Linked DNA regions of Medicago truncatula. The protein of the gene in region 1 interacts with the protein of each later gene in a pairwise test. Links are inferred from orthologs where the notes say so. Each region holds a gene or a part of one and is shown in the gene's direction. Other genes may lie near its edges. The genes, in order: transcription factor TCP4, SWI/SNF complex component SNF12 homolog, protein WUSCHEL and transcription factor HEC3.

Evidence for each region.
Region 2: the proteins of transcription factor TCP4 (region 1) and SWI/SNF complex component SNF12 homolog interact in binary tests that used the Arabidopsis thaliana proteins (3 or more experiments, as listed by UniProt). The link is inferred for Medicago truncatula from reciprocal best matches to the Arabidopsis thaliana genes TCP4 and CHC1.
Region 3: the proteins of transcription factor TCP4 (region 1) and protein WUSCHEL interact in binary tests that used the Arabidopsis thaliana proteins (3 or more experiments, as listed by UniProt). The link is inferred for Medicago truncatula from reciprocal best matches to the Arabidopsis thaliana genes TCP4 and WUS.
Region 4: the proteins of transcription factor TCP4 (region 1) and transcription factor HEC3 interact in binary tests that used the Arabidopsis thaliana proteins (3 or more experiments, as listed by UniProt). The link is inferred for Medicago truncatula from reciprocal best matches to the Arabidopsis thaliana genes TCP4 and HEC3.

Annotation. Positions count from the first base shown.
Region 1 is NC_053049.1:24,583,999-24,591,904, forward strand, and holds transcription factor TCP4, read left to right. Parts: upstream 1-4,898; 5' UTR 4,899-5,866; coding exon 5,867-7,168; 3' UTR 7,169-7,202; intron 7,203-7,305; 3' UTR 7,306-7,753; downstream 7,754-7,906. UniProt on the Arabidopsis thaliana protein: Transcription factor playing a pivotal role in the control of morphogenesis of shoot organs by negatively regulating the expression of boundary-specific genes such as CUC genes, probably through the induction of miRNA (e.g. miR164).
Region 2 is NC_053047.1:8,638,498-8,645,449, forward strand, and holds the start of SWI/SNF complex component SNF12 homolog, read left to right. Parts: upstream 1-3,922; 5' UTR 3,923-4,248; exon of another isoform or gene 4,249-4,436; 5' UTR 4,437-4,472; coding exon 4,473-6,076; intron 6,077-6,745; coding exon 6,746-6,818; 3' UTR 6,819-6,952. UniProt on the Arabidopsis thaliana protein: Involved in transcriptional activation and repression of select genes by chromatin remodeling (alteration of DNA-nucleosome topology).
Region 3 is NC_053046.1:8,573,124-8,579,710, reverse strand, and holds protein WUSCHEL, read left to right. Parts: upstream 1-4,344; 5' UTR 4,345-4,539; coding exon 4,540-4,969; intron 4,970-5,072; coding exon 5,073-5,170; intron 5,171-5,507; coding exon 5,508-5,888; 3' UTR 5,889-6,079; downstream 6,080-6,587. UniProt on the Arabidopsis thaliana protein: Transcription factor that plays a central role during early embryogenesis, oogenesis and flowering, probably by regulating expression of specific genes. Required to specify stem cell identity in meristems, such as shoot apical meristem (SAM).
Region 4 is NC_053049.1:43,198,985-43,205,426, forward strand, and holds transcription factor HEC3, read left to right. Parts: upstream 1-4,866; 5' UTR 4,867-4,937; coding exon 4,938-5,735; 3' UTR 5,736-5,933; downstream 5,934-6,442. UniProt on the Arabidopsis thaliana protein: Required for the female reproductive tract development and fertility.

The DNA of each region.
Region 1 (7,906 bases):
CGCGGCCGAACACGCGAAAATGCGCGTTTACGGAGCGCTGCGCCTGAACAAAGGCGATGGGCGCCCACAAGTCAGTAAGCCAGCACTGGGCGCCCCACTGCCAGCACCAGGCGCCCTGGACAGGGCAACATGCTTGTTGCTCCGTGTCCAGGTGCTTGGGGGTGGTCGTGTAGGGGCCCTAGGCGATCGTTTTGAAGTGTTCTTTTGCTGTTTTCACCTACTTTTCTACTGGAACACATTTAACTTTGTTGAAACTTTAATTTTCCAAATAGTTTGAAGCTTGTAATTGTGTCGTTTTCGGTTTTCTGGAAATTGTCGAAACTTGGTTTTTATGAACAAAAAGGGGTTGCAAGCTTAGTCTACAGTTCTTATGGGCTTAGGCAATGCTTGTAAGGTTAGTACAATATCTTAATCATGTCAAACTTGATTTTCGGGTGGGATTGTGGAAAATGTGAAGTTGGGTTTCTCATACGAACTTAAGTTGTTCTTGGGTTAATGTCCAATGACCCGGAGGCAACTTAAATTCATGAATACATTGTCGATTAAGATTGTTTGAAGGTTTTCAAGTTGTCTATGTCGTTTTGCTTTGGGATTTGTCAATGTTGGTCGGTGACCACTTGATATGGTTTTTGGTCGGAAATGTTTTCTTGAGCCAATTGTCTTATGAATTGTTGTGACCATTTTTATATGACTAAGTGAAGTTGTATGAATGAATGATTGTATTGGATATGATGTTTATCATGAGAGGTGTATGCTATCTTACCTAGTATGTAAGGAATGCTTGAATGGTGAAACCACATGTGATAGTTGATGTTGAATGACATTTTTTGATTATTGATAATCATGTTGATGTGAGATGATGAATACTATGAATTAATTGTGTATGGGCATGTTTTCTTAATAATGCAATGTTGTGGAGGTAATCAATATAATTGGGTGTCGTCCTATATATTGAGGTGAAAATTATGGATTATTGTCGCATTATCAAGTCCTTGTACATGTCCATGCATCATAGTCGTGTTAAAATTTTATATGATGTTTTATTCATTATTGGGCTCCGGCCTTGCATAGATCTTTTTAGATCTAGTTACGATGTTTTATTCCTTATTGTGCTCCGACCTAGTAGAGATATTTTGAGATCTAGTTTGTGAACTTCGGTCTTGCAGAGACCCTTGGTGGTCTGGATATGGGTGACGACCTTGAGGAGATTGGTACCACATGCATATATGTGTCAATAGGTGCATATCATGACATGAGTCTTATTGATAAATGTGATTGGTGATTGTTCGTGAAATATGATTGAGGATTGTTCATGATGTATGTGATTGGTGATTGTGTATGAATAATTGTGAATTGATATTTGTTCATGATACATGTGATTGATGAATATTGATGTGAGATATTGGGGTGTGATGTAAGCATTGTTATGTGAATATTATTGATCAAGTGCATGATGTTTATATTGAATTTTCATGTTAACTGTTATTTTGTTTATGATGATGTAATACTTACCCCCAGTGGTTTTAACCGCCTATCTGTCTGTATGGATGGGTAGACGTTGTGCAAGAGTAGTGCTTGGTGACTTTTGTGCTTGGTGGATATCGGGAGCTTTCTCCAATATCGGTGTTTAGTGTTTAGTCGGCTCTGATCTAGGCTTCATTGTGTCAGTCTAGATTAGCTTTTGTTGGACTTTTGTTATGTTTGGAGATTACCCGTATGTTGAGATTTTTGAGATGCATTTATGTTGATGTGATTATTGATTCATGACATGTATATTTGGATCACTCTGGTTTATATTCCGCTGCGACTGTTGAAGTTTATATACATGTTTATGTTTATTGGTTTTGAAATTTGTATGTGACGTAGCCTTTATTTCTTAAATAAATGCATTATTCGCATGTTTAATTGCTTTAATAGAAATAGGAGTGTTACAACACGTGTCCACACTTAACGTTTTTTATTAAACCTAACATAAGGGACCAAAACGAGACTATTAAAAAACTTAAAATACTCAAACAATTTTTTTTTAGTTAAGGGACCAAAGTGATACCAATTAAATACTTAAGGGACCAAAAGAGCATTTAAGCCAACAAAAAAAGAAAAAGAAAATTAGTGTATTAGTGAGATTAATTCAGTTAATAAAAATAATGCATAATATATGTAAGAATCGAGGTTGAAGCTCCAGCCACCATAAAAAAATATTAAAAGTAGTAACCATGATCACCACAAAAAAAGTAGTAAACTATTATTGTTATTACTATTATTATTATTATTATTATTATTATTATTATTATTATTATTATTATTATTATTATTATTATTATTATTATTTATTTTATTTTATTTTTAACGACGGAATGTAAAATTTGTAATGTTAATTTTTGTATTTTCAAATTATTAAAATGTTGCAGCAATTTAAGTTCATACGAATAAATAAATAATTTTTGTATAATGATGTAAAGTTAGTGAGACCTACTTAAATACTCATTGGAGTCCTTAGAGCAACCACATTGGTAGGGTCTTTACCATTTATGATCCGGTATCTAATAGGTACACTCAATGTAGAAAAATAAAATTGAGGGTCTCTTAAGTCACATAGTCTCACTTAATACCACCATCTTAAGTGGACCCAGTGGCGGAGCCAGGAATATTGTAAAGCCCGGGCAAAAAAAAAATTGCAACACATTTATAGGGCGTACATAAGAAATTGCAAGCAAATAATAAAAAATGTAAAGAAATTGCCCAATTTATAGGGGTTTATATAAGAAATTCATAGGGATTTACACAAGAAATTACAAAAAATTTGGCCCGGAGCCCGGGCGAGTGCCCGGGGTTGCCGGGCCTTAGAACCGCCCCTGAGTGGACCCCACACCAGTTTTTAATAAAATAATTATTATTTGAGTTGATTTTGTTGCTTTTCAATTGCAATTTTCATTCTTGTTTTCTCTAATATATACTCCCTCCGTCCCGGATTAACCGAGTCAAAAGCTCATTTCACAAGTATTAAGAAAAATGTATAAATGAAGGAGAGAGAAAAATAATTTTAAGTGTACTTGTTAAATATTAGTGCATTTTCCACTATCATAAATGTAAAGTGGAATATATTGAATTGAAAATGATGAAAATAGTTTTAACCAGAGTTATAAAGAGAAAAAAATAATTAATATTGTATTGAAAAGTGAAATGACTCAATTATCTTTAAGATACTTTTTTTTTCAGGAAATGGCTCACTGAAATGGCTCAGTTAACTTCCATAATGCTACCACAGTGTATCGTTGGCTTTTCATTTTTGCTCTCATTTTCTCAAAGTCCCTAAAAATTATTCATCCATTCTTATCCTATTTACTCATAATTAAAATCACTGTGTCGTTATATTATTTTGGATAATGAATCCAAACCAAATAATTAGTTATTGTTTTAATTATGTAATTTTATCATCCTTTTGAAAAAAATTGTAATTCTTAATATTTGGCAATATTATTATTAATTATTTTTCAATTTTTTAATAAACTACCGTTGATATAAATTTTGTAACTTTATATTTTAATCGATTTAATATTATAAAATAGATAACAATGTATTAAATAAATAGTTATTGGTGGGATCTATTTAGACCCTACATATATAATTTTTTATATCTGTCTCTCTCTTAAAAAATTATACATGTAGAGTCCATTTAAGAAGTCCATATTAATCGATTATCATTGTGGATGTTCTACCTCTTATATTAGAAAATTGTGTAGAAGTAGTTCCTTTTATATTAAAAATTGTATAGTTGCCTTATATATTTAACTTGTATTTTTTTTTTTAAATCACCAAATTTTATTAAATAACCAGATCGCTGCTCAAGACGAAATAAAGACCGATGAGAATACAAATAAAATGTGTCATATATAGGCTGAACATGCAAAATAAACATCCTAAAAACACCCATAATGACGACACCCACCAAAATATAGGTCACCATATAAAACAGACTCCTTAACAAAAACGACCATTGTAAAAACGATATCCGACCATCCATCGTCGCCACTCACCCCTTTAGATTCCATTTAACTTGTATTTTCAACTCGATTTTTTGTTTAGTTTTTTAAATAACATCCTTAAGACAGTGATTGACCAAACATAAAGAAACAATTTGACTTTGCAGAGAATAGGACAACCATGCAAAAACTTAGGCAGACAATGTTCCTTTCAGAAAAGGAAGAGAAGGGAAGCCTCCAAGATGACGTATACAGTAATTTCACAAACCAGATAGAAGTAAAGTAGTTTCGAGGAAGAAGTAAATTCAGCGATCTATGTTACTGCGTAGTTTCTTTTAAATGATAAAAGGGGTAAAGATAGAGAGAGAAGGCCAAAAAAGCTGTGATGGTGTCCCTTTCAAAAGGTGTGGTGGTAGCATATAAAGGATCTATCCCTCCAACAAAGACATCCACCCTTGTCTTTTTGAAATAATAATAAAGTTTTAACTTGTAACAAGCAAGTTAAACTCCCAATTACCAATAATAAAAATAGGTGAATTAATCTATTTAGTCTCTGAATGCTGAGAAATTGTAAAATAGTCCTTGAATGTAGACTCTATTGGTCAATTTTAGGGACTAAAGTGATTAACGGAATCTACATTCAGGAACTAAATAGGCTAACGAAATCTGCATTCAGAGACTAAATTGATTAACAAAATCTATATTTAAGGATTATTTTACAATTTATCTGCATTCAAGGACTAAAGTGGCGCCTCATATTCTATTCAGGAGCTAAATGACTAATCTCTCAATAAAAATAATATAACAAGGAATGGAGGGAAATTAAAAGCAAAAAAATAGGAAAAGAAAAGAGGGAAAATGGAAGGAAAGTAAATTGGTGAAAGGTAAATGAATGAAAATTGGATAGGTTGGTGGTAATATGTAAGTAGAGTACAAGAAAACTAGCAGAAGAGCAGTGATGAAATAAAACGGACGTCCATTCTGACCAAACACTGCCACCCTTTGTCACTGCCATCATCATCAAAAGCCTCTTTCTTATAGGGCCAGAATGAATTCCTCTTCCCTATACCCTTAATTTACTGTTATCTCTCTCTCTTCTTTCCTTCTCTTGTCTTCCTGTGTGTTGAGATATGGAAAATTTGCTGGATTTTTCACAACAGGACACCTCTTTCTCGTCCTCTACAAGTGGGTATTAACCAACTCATTCTGCTCTCTTCTACTTTCATTCATTAATTAATGCAACAATAACACTGGTATCACACTTCATTCAACTTGCAAAAAAGGCAAAAAGTGGTACAGACTTAGAGAGAGACAGATAGAGGAATGGGTTAGGCTCAAAACTGTTAAAGCATTCTTGGGTTTGGTGGTGATGATGGAAATGGGAAAATTGAAGTGGTGGCAGTTGCAACTAGAGTGTGAGAAAAGGAAACAAAACCATTGATTTAGTAGTAGTGTTGTTCTGTTGAAAGCTGGAAGAAGATAAGCAGAACAAGGGTCTGAGTCTGGATCCCCCCAGAACAAATTATCATAATCATCCTCTTTATCAACAAAACCAACAAGACCCTCATCACCATAACTCTGTTCTAAATTCAAGTTATGTAAGGGATAATGAAGAAGAAGAAAATGATGAACAAAATTCATCTCCCTCATCTGAAAAACCCCTGCATCATCCTCACTATCATGACCAACACCAACACCAACACCAAGACCCAACCTTTCATTTTCATCACCAGTACTTTCAACCACCCCAACAATATCTAGATTTAGAACCACAACCAGAGTCACTTGAACCACCAAAAAAACGGTCTTCTTTTCTTCCACCACTACCACACCCTAATCCACCAACATCATTATCTTTCTCTTCCATCGAATATGCAAGAAAGATGGGAGAAACAATACACGACCAGCACACAGGAACAGCAACAGCAACAGCTACAACAACAAAAACAGCAGCAACAACCTCGTCGAAGAGAATCAGCAGCAGCGGAGGAGGAGGAGAAATCGTGGAGGTACAAGGAGGTCACATTGTCCGTTCAACAGGACGGAAAGACCGTCACAGTAAAGTTTGCACCGCGAAAGGTCCCCGTGACCGCCGTGTACGACTCTCAGCCCACACTGCGATTCAATTCTACGACGTGCAAGATCGTCTCGGCTACGACCGGCCAAGTAAAGCAGTCGATTGGCTCATTAAAAAAGCTAAATCTGCTATCGACGAACTCGCTCACCTCCCCGCTTGGAACCCCACAGCTACATGTTCTTCAACACCACAACAGCAGCAGCAGCAGCAAACAAATGAAATGTTTCACCGGCAATCTCCGGTGGACAACAATCCAGTAACCGCTTCTACCAGTCACCGCTCAGCGGCATTAGAGCGAAGAATGCCACCACACGAACAACAATTTCCTTCCCAACAACAACAGTTGGAGATAGACTACAACAGTAGTAGCAGTGGGAAACATGGTTTTCTTCAAGGCTCGTTAGACACTGACATTGCGGATACTATTAAGTCTTTTTTCCCAGTTGAAACGCCCACCACATCTTTTCACAATTATCAACAACCGCCGGATTTACTCTCTCGAACGGCGGCAACCACCCAGCAGCAAGATCTCCGTCTCTCATTGCAATCTTTTCAAGATCCTATTATGCTTCAGAGCCACCATGACAACCACCACCACCACCACAATAACAATAACCAAGTGCTTTTCGCCGGAAACTCCTCCCTTGGTTACGACGGTGGTGGAAGTGGAAGCACCTTGTGGTCTGAGCAGCAACAACAGCAGCAGCATCAAGAGGAACATGATAACGGCAGATTGAATAGAATGATGGCTTGGAATGCTAATAATATTAATGCTAATGCTGCAGATGGTGGTAACAGTGGCCATGGTGCTGGATTTGTGTTCAGTACACCGGCACCGGCGTTTGGCGGTTATGGTCAGTTTTTTACTCAGAGGGGACCCCTTCAGTCCAGTTACAATCCTTCAGTTCGTGCTTGGATAGATCCTTCAATGGCGACGGCGAATATCGTTGATCACCATCATCACTATCTTTCGCCGATGATCCATCAGGCTTCTGTCTCTGGTGGTGGATTCTCAGGCTTTCGTATACCAGCACGAATTCAGGGTGAAGAGGAACACGACGGCGTATCCGATAAACCGTCCTCTGCTTCCTCCGACTCTCGCCATTGATTGGAACACTGATAAAAATAATCCAAACTTTCAGGTTCTACCTTCAATACCCAGTTCTTAAAATTTCAATTGAGTTTCTCTCTGTTTTATTCTTACTGCAATTTTTTCTTTTTATTGTGTTTTGACTGTTTTTTCAGGTTCACGGTTTGCGTTGCAGACGGTCTTTTTTGGGAGAGAGCTTTTGGTTTTGAAAGAGCTACAATTGGAATTCAAAAGCAACTTGGGTTTGGATTTTTCAGATGTTTCAACTTCAATTCAATGGCTTATATATATATATATATACCGTGTGGGAATGAAGAAAATCTGGTTTGATTTATTCATTCAGATTTATCAATTTCAGTCCCCCGGTTTTGTACTACAATTTATCTTTTGTTTTTCAAGCTTTAACTAGGACTAAGAGTACTACTATGTTTATGTTTGTGTCTAATTTGCTTCATTTGTGTCCTTGGATTTCAATTTGTAGTAGTTGTGTTGTGTTTTCTTAATTAGAACTTGTTCCATTTCTAGTTTCGACTAGTAATTTGGAAAAAAACATGCAGATTAAATAACTGAGCTAGCTTGCTCAAAAGTTGTTGTTTATTTCCATCTTGGTGTAAAACCCCAGTTGCAGAATGAAGCATTTTCTCCTTGTCACGAAAAAGGTAGTAAACCCAAATAACCCGACATATAAATTTTGCATATTCAAACTTGTGTATGATTTTGGCTTTGGTTGTTGGTATATATGGTTAATGCTGTCTT
Region 2 (6,952 bases), on another chromosome or scaffold:
CATTCAATGGTCAATTGATCCTTTTTGATCAAAAATAAATTTTTTGAACTTTAAATTAAAGTTGAGTAAAAAAAAAAAACTTTTAATTAAATTAAAAAGTCTCTAATATTGCAAAAATTAAAATTGAAGATTACCCTAAACTCAAAATAAAGAACAAATAGCTTGTGACGATTGACTTGATAAGGAGTTGTTTCAATTGTAAGATTGTGTATCAACTTTTGTTGTCAAGGTATGAATCCTAGTGATTTAGTAAGCACCTATGTAAATGTTTATTGAACCTTGAGGTATATTCTGATATTGATGAGTCCTATAAAATAAATAAAGAACAAATAAATAAAGAGTTAAATAAGTTTTCGTTTCTTATAAAATTTTCAAATTTCTCATTTGTCCCACTAAAAGATTTCTTCAATTTTTGGTCCTCCAAATATTTTCTGTCACAACTTTTGATCCTTGCTTTTAGGTAAGATCATGTGTACCCTTCATATTTTTGAATGAGTTTTTCAAGTATGTTTAGAATATTATAAGAATCTCTAAAAAAAAATTATAACTAAACATGATTAAATATGATTATTTAAGCACAAAAAAAATAAAAAAGCTTAATTGCATTTTTGGCCCCTAAGTATCACAATCTTGCAATTTTGATCCCTTATAAAAAACAATAACAAATCAGTCTGCTAAGTTTACTCCCTTTTGCACTTTTGGTCCCCCGGACCAATTTTGACTGGGTCAATGCATAAGTGGCACCCAAATCACTTTATTTATTAAACTTAGTTTTGGCTCCCTAAGTATCACAATCTTGCGATTTTGGCCCCTTAAGAAAATAGAAAGTCACACGTGGCACCTCACTTTAAGTGGTGTGGGTGCCACGTATGCATTGACTTGGTCAAAATTGATTTAGAGAGTCAAAAGTATAAAAATGGGTAAATTTGGGCTGATTTGTTATTGATTTTTTTATAGGGGGCCAAAATTCCAAGATTGTGATACTAAAACTACAATTAAGCCTATAAAAAATCACATTTAATTAATCTCTAATTTAAAAATTCAATACTTTTATCAAGAGATAATTCTATAATGTACTAAACTTGACGACATATGTCTTTATTAAATTTTGAATAATACACATAAATTGACTTAAAAACAGATACCAAAAGTGATGACATAAAGTATTTGAAGGATAAAAAATTGAAAAAATATTTTCGAGAGAGTAAAGGCGAAATTTGAAAATTTTATAAAGAATAAAAACTTATTTAACCCAATAGAAAATGAATAACAAATGTCTAAGAATGATAAAATGTTTTAAAAAAATGTTAAAGAATGGCCCGAATGAATTGATTAATGAAACAAATATAAAACTAATTTATTGGAAAGTTGTAAATTCAATTTTATATAGTTTTAAAATTGTTGTTTGAAATATAAAACTACTACTATTTTGTAACTCTGTATCCAATTTATGTGAGTTTACTTGGTTAAAAGAGACATTGTATTATACTACTCCCTCCGGTCCTATTTATAAGAGAATTTTGGGTCAACAAAAGTTGATGTATCTAGTTAAAAATTCAGTCCAAATACATTCACTTTTGTTGACCTAAATTTCTCTTATAAATAGGACCGGAGGTAGTATTAGCTTATTTGGATGTGCGGTGGAAGTAACTTTCTCACGCCCCAAGGTAAAAATTGTTGTAATTTGGAAAAGCTACTATATATAACTTCAGGTGGCATTTAGTATAGGAAAGGGGAGTTGTTTCCCACCTTTCATTGATCTTATTATAATCTACACACACTATATCTTTCCCCACTTTGTCATCAACCTCACTACTATCATCTCCACCTTTCACCACCACCACACCTCTGAACCCAAGTCAACAACCCACCTCATCACACCTTCAAAAAAACTCTAATAGGTACCCATTGCTTGGGAGTTTCAGTTGCCAAAATCGCTTGCCCAAATCCAATCAATTCAAATAAACTAAATACATAGAAAAAGGATAATCAACACATACAAAAAAACCCATAACTCAACCACAAAAAAAAACATAAAAAAAACTCAGATCTAAATTTTTTTGAAAGCACAAATCTGCTGGTGTTTTATTGGATTCTATTGTTGATGATGAAAGTGGTTGTTTTTCTATTATATTTGAGAATGAATGAAAGGTTTTTTGAAAGTACGTAATGTTATCAATGCCATGGTTGTTGTTACAAAAACTATGTTTTTCAATATTAATGGTGAATTTTACTTTTTACATGTCTAATTATTTAAAATTGATTGCCATTTTGGAACCTATTATAAGCGTAGAATGGAAAGGAATTTTTATGCACAAGAAAGGGATTGAAAGATCAATTTTATGTCAAACAGCAAAATTCGAATTGAAAATCAGTGGGGAAAGATCAGTGAGGCTGAAGGGGTGGGTTGTTGACTGGAGTTTGGTGGTGGTTAAATGAGAGAGACGACAGTGAGGTTGAAGACAAAGTTGGGAAATATATAGTGTGTGCAGACCATAATAAGATCAACGATCCTCTTAAATCTAACCGTCAAAAAATATTTTTCCATGGTGGGAAACAACTCCACTTTCCCATGCTAAACCCCACCATAAATTCATTGCAAACATGGTTCCTACTGTGATTTTGACTTGATGTGAAATTGGTACCGCACAACTAAACACATACTATATATATATAGATATTGGAATGCAAATCATATATATATATAGCATATATTAGTCTTAAGGGATAAATTTCTAATCACTAAACAACTTGAGAAACAAAACTTTTCAATTAATATCCATGAGACACTAATTAATCCAATGTTTTTTTTTTTTGACAAAATTAACCCAATGTTTTTAAAACATTTTCTTTTTATTTCAAGGGTGAGGTGTTCTGTTGATTTATCGTTGTTCCGTTGTGTAGGCGGTTTAGTCGCTTATTTGATTTATCGTTGAATAAAATGATTACAGTCGCTGAGGTGTTCTCTCTAGGCTGGGAGGTAGGGGGTGAAGCGTGGAGATGGAGGAGAAGGTTGTGGGAGTGGGAGGAGGAGTTGCTAGGGGAGTGTCGCCTATTACTTAACAATTTTGTTTTGCAGACTGTTGTTACTGACAGGTGGCAGTGGCTCCTTGACATTACCGGGGGGGGGGGGGGGGGGGGGGTACACTGTGCGTGGAGCTTACCAAATTCTTACTACATAGGTAGCTACTTTAAGTGATGAAACGAGAGATCTTGTTTGGCATAGGCTGGTACCTTTGAAGGTCTCTATTCTATCTTGGAGGTTGTTGCGGGACAAATTACCAACAAAACAGAATCTTTTGAGGCGAGGTATTATTCAACCCGCGCGCGGACATTTATTGTGTGGCGGGGTGTGGGAACAACGAATCAGTATTACATATGTTCATTCACTGTGATATTTTTGGTGCTTTATGGCACCATGTTAGGAATTGGCTTGGCATCTCTGGAGCTGATCCCTATAACATACATGCTCATTTTATTCAGTTTACTATCGCTATAGGCACTTCGAGGTCCAGACGTTCATTTATGCAGCTTTTGTGGCTATTGCGTGTGGATATTATGTAACAAAGAAACAACAGGCTATTCAATAATGTTCACACTCCACTGACAGACTTGATGGATAAAGTTAAATATACAGCTTTGTGATGGCTAAAAGCTAATAATGCTAGTTTTGTTTATGGTTTACAAACATGGTGGTCGAACCCTTTACGTTGTTTGGGTATCGATTGATTTCTGTTATTGTTTTTGTACTCAGACATATTGTAATTTTGGGGTGACCTCTTGAGTACACCTTGTGCTTATGGGGATTCACCGCCGTTGTTAATATATAAATTCCATTTTTGGTTCTTAAAAAAAAAAAAAAAAAAAAGGAAAAAACACGTTTTATTACATTTGGATTTGGTTATAACATTCACAACTTGTTTTAGAACTAAAAACGACACCGTTTCAAAACTAAACGCTTCACACTGACTCAAAACTTTGACCCATTTTCCAAACCCTAGCCAAACCTTCACCATCTTCATCTTCCTCAAAATTCATCTCTTTCTCTCTCTAAATCTTCACTCTCTCTCGTCAATTTCCTCAATTCACCTCTCTCTCTTCGCAATTTTCACTCATCAAACCCTAATTCATCTTATCCCCTTGTTTCTCTCTCTTCATCACCAAACCCTAATTCACAAAAAAAATCACATTTTTCACTTCTTCATGGCTTCTTCTTCAATCAGTGGATCTTCCTGAATCCAGATCGAGGTAAACATTACTTAATTCAGAATCAAAATCAGTGATTTTGGTTCTTTCCATTTTGGTAACAGAATTTTTACGAAGTAGTTTTCACACTTGAATTTGTTGTGATATAGGTACCCTTTTGGTCTATGATTGATAATATTGCATAAAGTTTAGATTTTTTTCATCTGGGTCTTGAAGATTTGAATTTTTAGGGTTTCGACCCTTTTGTTGATTAGATTTGGATAGTGATGTCTGTGAACAATAATAACAACCCTTCTAAAGGCATTGGTGCTTCTTCATCATCCTTTGGTAATGCTGGAATGCCCTCTAATTCTATGTCTACAAACCCTGTTTTTTCACAAGCCCAAGCCCAAGCCCAGGCTCAAGCTCAAGCTCAAGCCCAAATGGCTGCTGGTTTTCAAGGCCAGTTTCCACAGTCACAAGCCCATGCTATAGTTCAAGCACAAAATAAGGCTCAGGCTCAAGCTCAGGCTCATGCACAAGCTGCAGCAGTAGCTCATGCTCAGCTCCAGGCTCATTTGCAAGCTCAAGGGTTGAGTCTTAATCAGAATCAGGTTGGTGGTTTAGGGAATTTAGGTGTTTCGTCGTCGTCGATGTCTACGCCTGGGAGTGGCAGTGCGAAACGTGGTCCTTTGAAACCACCTATGAGGCCGGTTGGATTTCCGCCTCAGAATAATTTCTCACCGTTGAGACCAATGGAACTCACGCCTGCTGCTGCACGGAGAAAGAAGCAGAAGCTTCCTGAGAAACCGATGCAGGAAAGGGTGGCTGCTATATTGCCGGAATCTGCTCTTTATACACAGCTTCTCGAGTTTGAGTCTCGTGTGGATGCTGCACTTTCTAGAAAGAAGGTTGATATTCAGGAAGCGCTGAAAAATCCGCCTTGTATTCAGAAAACTCTTCGTATTTATGTATTTAACACTTTTGCGAACCAAATTCGCACGATACCTAAGAAGCCAAATGCCGAGCCTCCGACGTGGACACTGAAGATAGTTGGGAGGGTATTGGAAGATGGTGTTGACCCTGATCAGCCGGGAGTAGTTCAGAAGTCGTCACCGATGTATCCAAAGTTCTCGGCTTTCTTTAAAAAAGTAATCATTACTTTGGATCCGAGGCTATATCCTGAGAACAACACTATTATGTGGGATAGTTATCGATCACCTGCTCCTCAAGAAGGTTTTGAAGTGAAGAGGAAAGGGGATAAAGAGTTTTCGGTGAATATACAGTTTTATATGAATTATGCACCTGAGAAGTTTAAGCTTTCACCAGCATTGACGGAAGTTCTTGCTATCGACGTTGATACTCGTCCAAGAATTATTGCTGCAATATGGCACTATGTGAAGGCTAGGAAACTGCAGAACCCTAGCGACCCTTCTTTTTTTCACTGTGATCAGCCTCTTCAGAAAGTATTTGGGGAAGAAAAGGTGAAGTTCACAACGGTTTCGCAGAAAATATCACCACATTTGTTCCCTCCACCACCTATAGTTGTGGAGCATCAGATCAAACTATCGGGAAATAGTCCAGCTGGGAGTGCTTGTTACGATGCGATGATTGATATTCCTTTTCCTATTCAAAGGGAGTTGTCTGCACTATTGGCAAATGTTGAGAAGAACAAAGAGATTGAAACATGTGATGAATCGATATGTGGAATCATTAGAAAAATCCACGAGCATCGTAGGAGACGGGCATTCTTTCTTGGTTTCAGTCAATCTCCAGTAGAATTTATTAATGCCTTGATTGAGTCTCAAAGCAGGGATCTGAAAGCTGCAGCTGGAGAACCTAGTCGCAGTGCTGAAAAAGAGCGCCGAGCAGATTTTTTCAACCAACCATGGTAATCTTTGAGAACTATCTCTGCTCATTTTTCTATCCTCCATTGTTTTATTTTATTTTATATTTTGTTTTTTTTGCTTGTCTCTGTTTATTTGCTACCATCTTTGATTGCAAATTAATTCATCATCGTCTGCCAGAATTGATTGTGATTGACTCAAAATCAGATATAATTTAGAATTGTCACTATACTTCTGTGATTAATAGTCCCCTTCCATATATTGTCTTAGTTGATGAATGATGATGATTTATATATAAACTTAGCATATATGTTAGTTGGACTGTTGGATTTATGCGCCTATTTTCATCTCATATGGCCCAGTGTTGTCAAATAGCGCACTATGCTGTCATAGCATAACATAATTTGAACAAATCATGATTATTCTGCTATATGCTATTAGGCACAAAGTGTAGTGTAGTGTAGCGGAATTTGAACAAACCACCATTTTCTAAGATCTGCAGTTGACAACACTGATATATATGATAGGATTTCATTTCAAATGTTTTAAAATGCATTTTTTTTCTTTCTTCTGTGCACAATCCAGTTAAAATAAGCCTTGAATCAATGTATTTGTATTTTCTATGTTTAATGGATGCATTTTACGATTGAGCATTAACTATATCAATTATCATTCACTAAAAGAATTCATATATTGTTTGACAACATGAGCAGGGTTGAAGATGCTGTTATTCGATATTTGAATCGCAAACCAGCTGCAGGAAGTGATGCTCCAGGAAGCACATGATACCTAGAGAAGTCCCAGTGCTCCTTATTTTGAAATCATTCATCCTTTTATGCTATTCATTTCAATATAAATCAAGGGAATTCTTAAGTAAGCTAGTTTTCCATCTTCCATGCCGTATTTGTGAATACTGCTCC
Region 3 (6,587 bases), on another chromosome or scaffold:
GTTGACCCATTAAAATTGTATATTTTAAATTTAATCATTAAAGTTGATCTTTTAAAAAGTTACTGATTTTGAAATGAAATTGTAATAAAGGGTGTTTTTGTCAAAGATGGGATAACTGTAAAAATCCCAGCAACTATTTATTTAGCTTATGTTCTCCTACATTTAATATTTTCTGTCATTAACCAACTAAACGAGCTTGTAAATTCTTAAAAAAGCAATCCTTTAATTTTTGTTCATTGAATCTAAGGTTGGGCATGCTTGATAAAACGTTCAGTAATTTTAAAATTCGTCGCATGCCTTTTGTATTATACTGAGTGTAACGTTCATTTTATTTAAAAAAACGGTTTCCACATAAATAGGTTTTTTTAAATATTATTTGATTTTTTTTAGTTTGATTTTATTTAGAATTTTGATATTATGTGGTATTTTACTCTCATATTTAAAATTGAAACAATAAATCACCGTTTATTGAAACTAAAAAGGTTAAATTTTATAACGATATACCTATTTTTATGAGAATGATAAAATAGTGGACAATAGTACAACTATACTTAAAATATAAAAACACTATGAATAATTAATAATATAATCTTAAAAATATATCTAATTAATTGATTGTCAAAAAAAAAAAATCTAATTAATAAGAGTTCAAATTAACTTTAGTTTATCGGTCATTCAATATATTAAACAGGTATGATTACCTCTGTTTTAATCTACCACTATGAATAAAGTTATTACTTTTTTTTTATTTAATCACAATACTATTTCGGATTTCAATTATAAAAAAAAAAATAAAAAAAATCTAACTTCAAAAATTTACTTAAAGTATCATCTATTGGAACTTGTCTCACAGAGGTGCTCGGAGCAAACTGAACATGTTCAAACGAACAGTAACGGTCTATGAAAATCTTTCAAAGACTAACTTATGGTATATGAAAAATTTCTAAATACTAACTTCCGTTCTATGAGAATCTTTCAAATACTAACTTTTGTTTTATGATAAACTTTCAAAGACTAACTTTCGTTCTATGAGAATCTTTCAAAGACTAACTTTTGTTCTATAAGAAACTTCTATAGACTAACTTTTGTTCTATGAGAAACTTCTAAAAACTAACTTCTGTTGTATGAGAATCTTTCAAAAACTAACTTATGTTCTATGAGAAACTTCTATAGACTAATTTCCGTTCTATGAGAATATTTTAAAGACTAACTCTTGTTTAATGAGAAACTTCTAAAGACGGACTTTTGTTCTATGAGAAACTTCTAAAGACTAACTTTCGTTCTATTAGAAACTTCGAAAGACTAACTTTTGTTCTATGAGAAACTTCCAAAGACTAACTTTATCTTGTGAAATTCTTCTAAAGACTAACTTCCGTTATCCGAGAATCTTCCAAAGACAAACTATCATTATATATATGAGAATTTTCCAAGGATTGAAATGTTTGTATAATTTTTTTTAATTAAAATTTAGTTGTAAACGTTTATAATTTTTTGGGTTAAATATGTTTTTGGTCCCCATAAATATGTCAACTTTTCATTTTAGTCCCAATACAAAATTTGTTCAACTTTTAGTCTCTCAAAAATTTTTCATATTCACTTTTGGTCCCTCCTTTAAAGTGAACTCATACGTAGATTCATATTTTTGAATAAAATTTTGCAGAAAAATTCATAATATAATAAGAATCTCTCCTAAAAAAAGTTAGATTTTTTTAACAAAACATGAATTTAGTATGAATTTTTAAATGTTTTAAGGTTAAAAATTCATATTTAATTTCTGTTTTGTTAAAAAATTCTAGTTTTTTTTGGGATTTTTTTTAGAATATTTAACACATTTTTGCACAATTTTATTAAAAAATACAAAAATTAAATTAAAAATAGGTACCGAAAGTAGTGATTGAAAATTTTAGAGGGATTAAAACGAAAAATTGATATATTTATAAGGACCAAAAATATATTTAACCTTAATTTTTTTATTAGAAATTATGTGTTCAATTAATGTACTATTTTCCATATGTTATTCTATCGTAATAATTTATTAAGATTGATGGTGTTAAATGATTAATAATCAAATAAATATAATAAAAACACTACCAAAAAAGAAATATAATAAAATAAAAAGGGAGGGATTAACTTTTAAAAATAAACAATGTTAATTAAGGCGTGTATTAAACCGGGAGGAATGGATATTCTCTTGTTTCAGGGTAAAGGACAATAAAAGAGAGGAAAGGTAGTGAATTTGAAGTACCTTAAATGCCCTTTGCCTTCAATTTGAGAATATAATTCTTAAAATTAAAATTACACACAAAATCAGGTAACTAACAGTAGATTTACCTACAGTTGCACGTTATAGCACCAATGTTAAATTCTTTTTTTAGTAAAAATGCATCTCGCACGTTAAACGACGCCTTACTTTTGGTACTTGAAAAACACTTCTAAGATATATAAAAGTGAAACCAAACATATTTCTAACATTAATCAATCAAGTTAATAATTGTTTGCATCAATAAAAGTGACTTGATAATAGGTGACTCAGAAAATTTTAGATAGAGTGCAATATCATTTTAAATTTTGAGCCGAGTCTAATTCAATAATTTTAACATCAATTTGTAAGTTGATGATTTTCCTCATTTATAAACACATATGTTTAATCCATATTTAATCAACGTAAGATACTGTAACCATATGTGCAAGCAATAAAAGATTACAATTTTTGTAAACTAGCCATTGAGCTAGTTTGTACTGTCTCGCTTTCTCAACGTGTTAAACGAGACGAGAAAACTTGAAAGTTTTATGTTGAAAATCTCTACTGATCTTACCTAAAACGACGGGTTAAACGAGACGGACCGGCAAGGTCGGCTCGTTTTAACACCCCTAATCAAAACAAAATCCAAATTAGTAGTTGTTGTCCCTTAATTTTATGAATCTTTTTATAAATTAATTTTATCAATCCTTATTTACACGGAAATTAAACAACATAAAAAGTTGAGGAATAGATCATCTCATTAAAATTTTATACTGATTTGGTGGGGTATTTTTACAAGTATATTTAGTGGTTTTTCATCACAAATTTTATTAGAATCTCATCTCATCTATCTAATATATTTATAGAGCGATGGATACAAAACTTTCACATGATACCATTTGATGAAATCATGCATTTCCGTATGAATATACTATTTGTTTTATATTGGGATAGGAGATATTGTGGCCGTGTGCATAGAGACAAAAAGAAGACAAAGCAAAGTGTTAGTTTATTTGTCATCTCCTCCAATAATTTGTAACTAAATCACTTCAAAAAGCTAACTATATAAAGTTTAAGAATAATTCCCTTTACATTTCAACCCTATCATATACATATCTCTCTATTTTATTATCTTCACATAAAGTGCAATCACTTTAGTAGAAAAATGTGACATGTTAAAGAGAATCCTAACCTTATTGTGTGATCTTGACTGAGAGAAAGAAAGATTAATTAATTACAAGAAAATGAATATTAATTGAAAGGAACGTATAACTAAAAAAAGGCTTTATTTACATACTATATTTTCTGTTTTTGGTCATTTCCCAGTACTGATCATAATCAAGTCTTGTGCAGATATAATTATTAATTAGACATTTTGAGAGTACCTATTCTCTTATAGAGACTCAAGAAACTGTATAATTCAAAATCTTTGTCACACATATATAGAAATTGTACCATACAAAACCATAATATATAGTCTTCTTTGCTCATCAGTATCATCAATTCTACCACTGCATCAAAAGTACAGTTAGAAAAGTTATACTTCCTGATATAACTTTAGAATATGTGTACCAATATGCAGAACAAAATAAATTTAAAACCCTAATGAAAACAAGGTTCATATATATTGGGACCCATACCATACATATGAGATTCATACTAATGAAAAATACATTTTTACCCTCCACTTTTTTTGCTCTAGTACAACAATATCTTAGTAGCTATTGAAAAATGATATATTCATGTAGGGGCCATGTCTGATTTCCACATCAAAAGAAGAACCTATTGAGAACTCCCAAATCACACTAGCATCATTCTATTTCATTCATTCATTCAGTAACATCTACTTTTTTTCATATCATTTCATACATAGATACATTACAGTACATTTACATACATACCCTTTATTTTCTAATTTAAAATTTAATCAATGTATGCAAATACATTATTTTTTACAATATACCTGGCATACAATGCCTTTTGATCCAAGTAAATTCCTGGTCACTTTCTAAGCTCTCTTTTGTCCCTTCCCTTTTTATGAACATCTCTCTGTCAACTTCAGTCCTTCTCTCCCAGATATCATTTCTGATTTTCTCTCTTTATCACTCCATGTACCATGTGCATGCCCTATATCATCATATTCATATTATTTATATTTATATATATAACCTACCAATACAATACATTACATGCAGTAGTACTCTCTTTCACACTCACCTACCCTCTCTATTCTATCTTTTATTTTATTTTTTGTTTTCTTCTCTTTGTTTTGTTCTTGTTTTCAGTCCAACAAAAACATGGAACAGCCTCAACAACAACAACAACCACAGACACAACAACATTCACCAAACAATGGGATTATGGGAAGCAGACAAAGTAGTACAAGGTGGACACCAACAACAGATCAGATAAGAATATTGAAGGATCTTTACTACAACAATGGAATTAGATCACCAAGTGCAGAACAGATTCAGAGAATCTCTGCTAGGTTAAGACAGTATGGTAAGATTGAAGGCAAAAATGTCTTTTATTGGTTTCAAAATCACAAAGCTAGAGAAAGACAGAAGAAAAGGTTCACTTCTGATGTTAATGTTGTTCCCATCATTCAAAGAGCACCAAACAACAATACTATTATTTCTGCTGCTAATTGGAAACCTGATCATCATGAACAACAACAAAACATTAATGTTCATACCAACCATTCTACTTACAACATTTCATCTGCTGGTATATTCTTTTTCCTTTTTGAGACAAGAAAAAAAAAAGTAACTAATTGATTAAATATTATATACTATATCCTATATTAATTTTTGTGTGTGTGTTTATTTAGGGCTTTCTTCTGCTTCATGTTCTTCTGCTGAGATGGTTACTGTAGGCCAGATTGGTAACTATGGATATGGATCTGTCCCCATGGAAAAGAGTTTTAGGGTAAGTTATTGACATGAAAAACTTTATACTATTATTTCAAGTTTTCTTTCCCTTTGCAATGCATTCAAATCCATGATCTTTTATTTAATAACCAAAAGGACAATCCAGAAAATTTCCATAATAAGAAGAACAACCTCATAAACCTAAGCATTAAAAATAAAACTTTAATTTATGAAGTGAAAGTAACACTTGTATATTGAATCATAACTAGTTAATGCTTCTGTAGATTATTAAAACTCTATATTTTAGGTATAGCTTTAGACATGTCACATATATTTATTTTCTTCTGCAAAATGTTGAAATATCAAGTTTTGATTTTTTTTCTTCTTTTTCTTAGGAGTGTACAATTTCAGCTGGATGTAGCAGCAGTCAAGTTGGAAGTACCATAAACCCTCACATAGGATGGATTGGTCATCATGTCGATCCATATTCTTCAGCTTATGCCAACTTATTTGAAAAAATAAGACCAAATGAAGAAATCATGGAAGAATATGATCAAGGACAAGAAAATGGTTCACCTGAAATTGAAACCCTCCCTTTATTCCCTATGCATGGTGAAGACATTCATGGTGGCTATTGTAACCTCAAATCAAATTCATCTAACTATGGTGGTTGGTATCAAGCTGAAGATGCTGGATTCATGTATGGTTCTCGTACTACTTCCTTGGAACTTAGCCTCAACTCTTACGGCTGTAGGTCACCAGATTATGCTAATTAAATTTGCTAAGTTTAAAGATTTGAAGATGAAGCTTAATTTATCTTATATATAATAATAGTATGCTACATATATATAATGAATTTAGGGTATGTGTTAAGGTTATATATATTTAATGAATGTGAAAATTAATGTAGTTAGTTTGTTTCTGTTTTTAGTCAAGAGTTGTTCCTAACTTGACAAGTGTCATGTAGGCAACTTAATTGGACTGACAATGACTGATTATTAGTAATAATTATTGTTATGTTATTTTTGTTGTCCATTTCCCTACAAACATTCTTTGCATTAATTTGCTAATTCAAATGATTGGCTTTACAAAAAGATACTAATATACTAAAAGTGATGATGGAATGTTAGTAAAAGTTAATCACACACAACACATAATTAGCCAACAACTTTACTCAAGTGGTAGCATCATATTTGGTTTGCAACCAGTGCAAAATCATGTGCTGCATCAAACTCCATCGTTTTCTATGAATTAGTGACGTAGTTAGGACATGTTTTTTTTTTGGATGAGTTTTTGGGTTAGTAATTGATTATATTATGTTATTTTTGTAACAAAGGAGAAATTCATTTGTATCCAAATTCTTCACTTTAAAAAATAAAATTAGTACTGTCTGATGTGTACAACTTATATAATAACTAGTTATATGCTTAATGTTTTGTTTAGGAGGTTGTTGATAAGTGGATCTTGATATCGTG
Region 4 (6,442 bases), about 19 Mb from region 1:
CGAACTTAATTATTTGCTGATGAGCTAATTTTACGATTAATATAATGATCACCAATGTATTTGATATTTCCAAATCGTCTTGTGTGTTGAAGTAGTAGTAATTTCATACTATTGAAATAAATTATTCAATGACATTAATTAATACAAGAATACTAGTATGACACATGCGGGTGATGTCAAAATTAATTGTGACTTTGGAATTGTCTTCTTGTTTTTTTTATAGTAGATAGACGAAATGACAAAGCCATTATAAACTCATACACAAGTGGAGGTATTGAGGTTCGAATCCTGATCATGACGTTCGGCCTAACAATTTTGACGTTTTACCAGTTGAGCTAGGACTTGCTGACGGAATTGTCTTCTTATACATCAATAAATTACCGTAATTGTTGAGCCACGGAGAAAGGGGTTGCATCAAATTAAAGGGGGACTGTGTTCTATGTTCAATGATGATACATTTATTGCATATAGTTTTTTGAACTGGACTGAATAACAAGAGATATCTCTTTAGTTCTCCCTTAAAAAAAAAAGAGATATGTCATTAATTGGTAAATTACATGTAATTTATTCTAGCAACTATAGGAATTCAAAAAGGCTAGCACCAAATCAATTCTTTTGTTGGGTAGTACTACTACTAACCACCCTTTTTTTTAGGTCTAGATTACCCTCTCTTGTTTAGGGGTATTTTTATCCTTTCATATCAACCAATCAAAATGTAATATACAAATATAATATTAAATGTCAAATAAATGAGTCAATTTTTTCTATAAAAAAAAAATCAATTTTAATCCTAAGGTAACATTTAATTTAATTATATATTTAGGTATTCAATCTTAATTAATTTACACTATAGGTCTTGCAACAATTAAAATTTCACATCAAATTCAACCCATCATATAACACTAAAGGTCATTTATCTTATTTATTTGTAACACATTAGTCCTTTATCTTTTTTTTTTGTTCCATTTAGGTCCTTTATCTATTAAAACGTGCACAAGTTAATCCTTTTCTTAATTTTTCTATTAAAAAAACATGAAAATATTAATTTTATTAATAACTTTGTTTTAAAAAAAAAAAATAATAATAAATAAATTCATAAACCCTATGAATATTTCATCCTCATATTCATCATCTTCATCTTCTTCCTTATATCAAAAAAATTGTCCATCCAATAAACCTTCAAATTTCTTAAATATTTCCACTTCCATCTTCTTCTAAACACAAAATTCAAAATACTCAATTTTTTTTTTGAAGAAAAAATACTCAAATTTATAAACCCTAAGTTTGCCAAACCCATAAATCTGAATTTTAGATTTAAAGAAAGAAACCAAGAATTCAAAGTATCGATCGGGTTCTTGATTTCTATGAAATTTGATTATAATGGTGTTTGATGTGAGCTTGACGAGGATTGTGCATATGAGCTAGCTGTTTAGCTTTTTAGATTCTTAACCTTTTTGGATTTTTTACTAGTGTTATACAATGGTATAAACAATTTCTTATTGTTGCAGGCCAACCTCGCCTTCACTACCATCATAGATAGGAAAGCTACAGGGAAAATAATAATTGTATTCGATGAGAAAATTACAAGATCTAAGTTGTGATGATCTTTACTAAAACTATGCTTGAGCACTCAAACATGAGAGGTTTACTATCCAAATTGTGAGATTTTTTCTTTAAATCCAAAATCCAAATTTATCGGTTTGGTAAAATTAGGGTTTATGAAATTTGGGGATTTTGAATTTTGTGTTTAGAAGAAGATGGAAGTGAAAATATTTAAGGAATTTGAAGGTTTATTTGGATGAACAATTTTTTTGATTTAAGGAAGAAGATGAAGATGATGAATATGAGGATGAAATGTTTATAGGGTTTTTGAATTTAATTATTAAAAAATATTTTATAAAATAAAGTTATTAATAAAATTAATATTTTCATGTTTTTTTAATAGAAAAATGAAGAAAAGGATTAACTTGTGCACATTTTAATTGATAAAGGATCTAAATGGGACAAAGAAAAGATAAAGGACTAATGTGTTACAAATAAATAAAATAAAGGACATTTAGTGTAATTTTGCTTAAAATAAATTGACTCATTTATTTGACATTTAATGTTACATTTTGTATATTACATTTTGATTGGTTGATATCTTGAAAGGGTAAATACACTCTAAACAAGATAGGATAATGTAGAAAAAACCTCCTTTTTTAGGTACAAACTAACCATCATTTTCTATGAGGGGAAGCAAAATAATTTTCTTAATAAAAAATACGATCTCATTTGACTTAAAAAAATATCTAAATTATCGTAATTTTCGTACATATTTTTTCTTGCAATTTTTCGTGCATATTTTAATTAAAAATATAGTATTCCTTTTTACTTTAAATAGGATTTTTTTTTTTTATCAAGTGACTTAATATCTAAGCTGATACATATTAAGTGTGAAGGAATGAGGAATTTAAAGTTTCAACCTTGTCATCTCTATATCAACGTCCTTACCGTTATCAATTAACCTACTTAAAACTACACTGATATAACACATTTATAGTTAACAACTGAGTTGTATTTACATGAAAATGCATAGAGAACTCTATTTAACCGACTATCGATAAAGGATTTCATTTAATGAATAGTTGGCCATTTAAATTGGTCTTGGATTTTTGAGTTTGTAAACCGAAATTTTGAAGTCGCCATCCAACCAATCCCAAAATGAGTGAAGGAGACGGGGAGCGAATTAAATTATAGCAAGGAGCAAAAGGCATATGAAAATGGCAATAAATGGGAAGCAGCCCTAGGATTTCAGTGCACCTAACATCAAATTGGAGAGAGGAACCAATTCAATTACTATTTTCACCGTTAGCTACCTAGGCAGTGCATATGCATAAATACACTAATTAAGATAGAACGATTTCTATTATTTTCATTAGATGGATGCATATTTGATTAATGGTCGTACACATTGATGAGTCCAATTGCTACACGAAAATCATTCATATAAATATATATTTGGTTTGATATGTATGGATTGTCTAATTTTATCTAACAATCGTGATTTTTGACTAACTTATCACTATGTATGTTTTTATACATATATTTATTTCCCTTAAAAAATAAAATACAATTGATTTATCAATTCATAGACGTTAGTTAATTAAAACTAACCATGTATGTTTTTATACATATATTTATTTCCCTCTTTTGAGCCCTCTTGCACTTTTTCACGAGTGAGCTGTGAAACCTTTCTTATGCTTGCCTTGATAGGATTTGTTTATGTTTTATATTTTTATAAGTAGACATGTATTTCTTTGTATTTGTTCTCTTGTATTGTTGTATTCTTGTTTTTTTTTTTTTCTCTCCGTGATTTGTTTCATTGTATTTTTTGCTTTGGCTTTGCCCTTCTTGAGGCTGCTCTTTCCGTCACTTGACCTCTTTACAATTAAAAAAGTATAAATATATCACAATATTTTCATAAGCTCTTGTAAACACTTATAAAAAAAACGGCTTAAATATGTATTTCATCCTTGCAATTAGGGGTCGTTTAAAAATTGGTCCCTGTAATCGCTAATCCTGACAATTTACCCTTGCATTGTTTAATCATTTAAAATTTCGTCCCTCTCCCCACTTAATCACTGCCGCGTCACTAATTTGACGACGTGGCAATCACTATCACAAATGAAATTCCAATTTTACCCCTGAGTTTCCAATTCTTTCTTCAATATTTTGTCCTCTTCTTAAGGGCAAAATTGGAATTTTATATGTGGCAGTGATTAAGTTGGTCAAAGGACGAAATTTTAAATGATTAATGATTGCAAGGCTAGTTTGCAAGGATTACGAATACAGGGACCAATTTTTAAACGACCCTTGATTGCAAGGATGAAATACATATTTAAGCCTAAAAAAAACCTCTTAACATGACACTTCAAAATATTTCAAGACAATAATATTATTTTATTAAAGTTCAATTTCGTCTACATTTATTGGATAGGTCACAAAAGTCTACTTTTGGATTAACTAAAAGGCCTGTTTTTTATTTAGATAATATTAGGTCTAAAATAAATTAGTCAACACATATTTAATCGTGTGACGTTACATATATATTTATAATGAAATAAAAATTTTAATAAAATAAATTGTCTAAAAATATAACTATGAACTGAACTAGACTAGTATTTTTGAAGTTGGGATAGGAGGGGCTATAGCTAGGTATATGGATCAATCTCATGACTTTGTAGAACTACATTCGTTCAATTCAATTCAACCACTTTAATTTGCTGCACTGCACCATGCACTACCTTTTCTTTTCATTCATTTGTCTACATGCTTTTTGCAGTGACTCCCCTTTCAGTAAAAACCCCTTCCTACATATATAAATTACTTTCCCTTTTCTTTCTCAATTCTCTCCTTTCCTTTTGGGCCCCCTCTATACCCTCTACCCTCTTTTTCAACCATCAAAAACCTTCTTCAACGTTTCATATACAATACAACAATAAAAAAAACTTTCAAGCTAGGTAATATATTTTTAACCTCAATCTCCTTAATTTCTACTCCTTCACATTAATTATCTCCTCTTCTTCACACATGTGTGCGTTAACTATTATTTATAAGTAGCGTTGTTTCATTTCATATGATCATATCCAAAAATTTATTCTCTTCTTCTCTCATTCTCTTATCGTCTTTTGAGTTTGAGTATCATTTATATTCGTTTTATTGAATATTCATTTCTTCTGTTGTTCAAAAAAAAGTTGATCAAATATCTCAAATTAACCCCTTTTTATTGTTTATTCCCTCTTATCTTTTAGCTAATTAAAGTTTTTTTTTTGGTAGAATTTTAGCTAATTAAAGTATTAAATCAATAAAGATACACAAGATCATCTAACTAGCTAGATCCATCAAAATTAGAACCTAACACTTCATATTTTTCATATATATAATTGTTTTTGGTCATGGAAAATAACCAAAATAATACTAGTAGCGCATTCACAAGCACTTGGAATCTTGAAAAAATGGAAACAAATGAACAAAACCGTATTATTCTCCAACAAGATCATCATCAAGTTCCTATGAATTCTTCTGTAATTTGGCCACAAAATAACTACAGCAACATGATCATGGCACCACCACCACCACCATCTTCATCAGGTTCACTCAGTGACATCTTAGGGATCCATCGAATCGAAGACGTAGAAGAACAAGAAGAAGAGTTAGGAGCTATGAAGGAAATGATGTACAAGATTGCAGCTATGCAACCGGTGGACATCGACCCAGCAACGATTCGAAAACCAAAACGAAGAAACGTTCGAATCAGCGAAGATCCACAAAGTGTTGCAGCTAGACATAGAAGAGAAAGAATCAGTGAGAAGATTCGTATCCTTCAAAGACTTGTTCCTGGTGGAACTAAAATGGATACAGCTTCTATGCTTGATGAAGCCATTCGTTATGTTAAGTTTTTGAAGAGACAAATCAAGTTGCTTCAATCCACTCCTCAAAATCAACAACAACAACACATTCAATTGCCACTTTCATCACAATGCATTAATTCTACAACTCCTAGTGCTTTGTTATTGTCCCCTTCTTCCGGTTGTGACGTTTGGCCTTTTGCACCAAATTTACTACTCACTTCCACAACAGCTGCCACAGTGGACTTACCCGCCGGAGTTCAATTTGACGCCGGAGGACATTCACATGTTCATGCTTGTGATGGCTCATCAAGCTTTAACCATCATGAGGTAATTAGTGAGTGATTAATTAGTTAGGTTAAATTATATTATACTTAAATATTTTTATCTATGTATAAAAAGGACAGTCCATATTGCACAAGGTTTCACCAAGTGAAGTTTGCATAGGGTTGATGATTGTCTTCCCAAAGAGAGAAAAAAAATTCAGAATTCGAACTCATGACCTATGTCTTCTGTATAAGACAACAACCTTACCATTATTTATGTATGTGTATGAAATTGGAGAAGTATTTTTTATATTAGTATATGTATGTAACTATATAAGTTGATGATGAGTTTAGAGAAAGAGAAAAAAGAGGAAAAATAAATTAAAGAGTGAAGACGTATATATATATAGCTAGGTAGTATAGAGTAAAGTTTGATAGGGGAAATTGATCATGTGAGAGGGAAAAAGGTTTGTTAGGATTGTTGACTAAAGGTTGTGAAGAATAATCATAACGTTTGGCTTTGGTTACGTATAGAGGCATATATATATATATATATATATATATATATATATATATATATATATATATGTGTGTGTGTGTGTGTGTGTGTGTAATTATAAGAATAGAATAATGTGTATGCAGTTTGATTGTTGGCCGGAAAGTTTGTTTGGCCGACTCTCTTTCTGGGAATAAATTCAACAGTGACGTGAGAAACTATATAAATATTTATTGATCAATTTATAGTTATATAGTAATATCTCTCTATCTAGATTTCTTTTCTGTCTT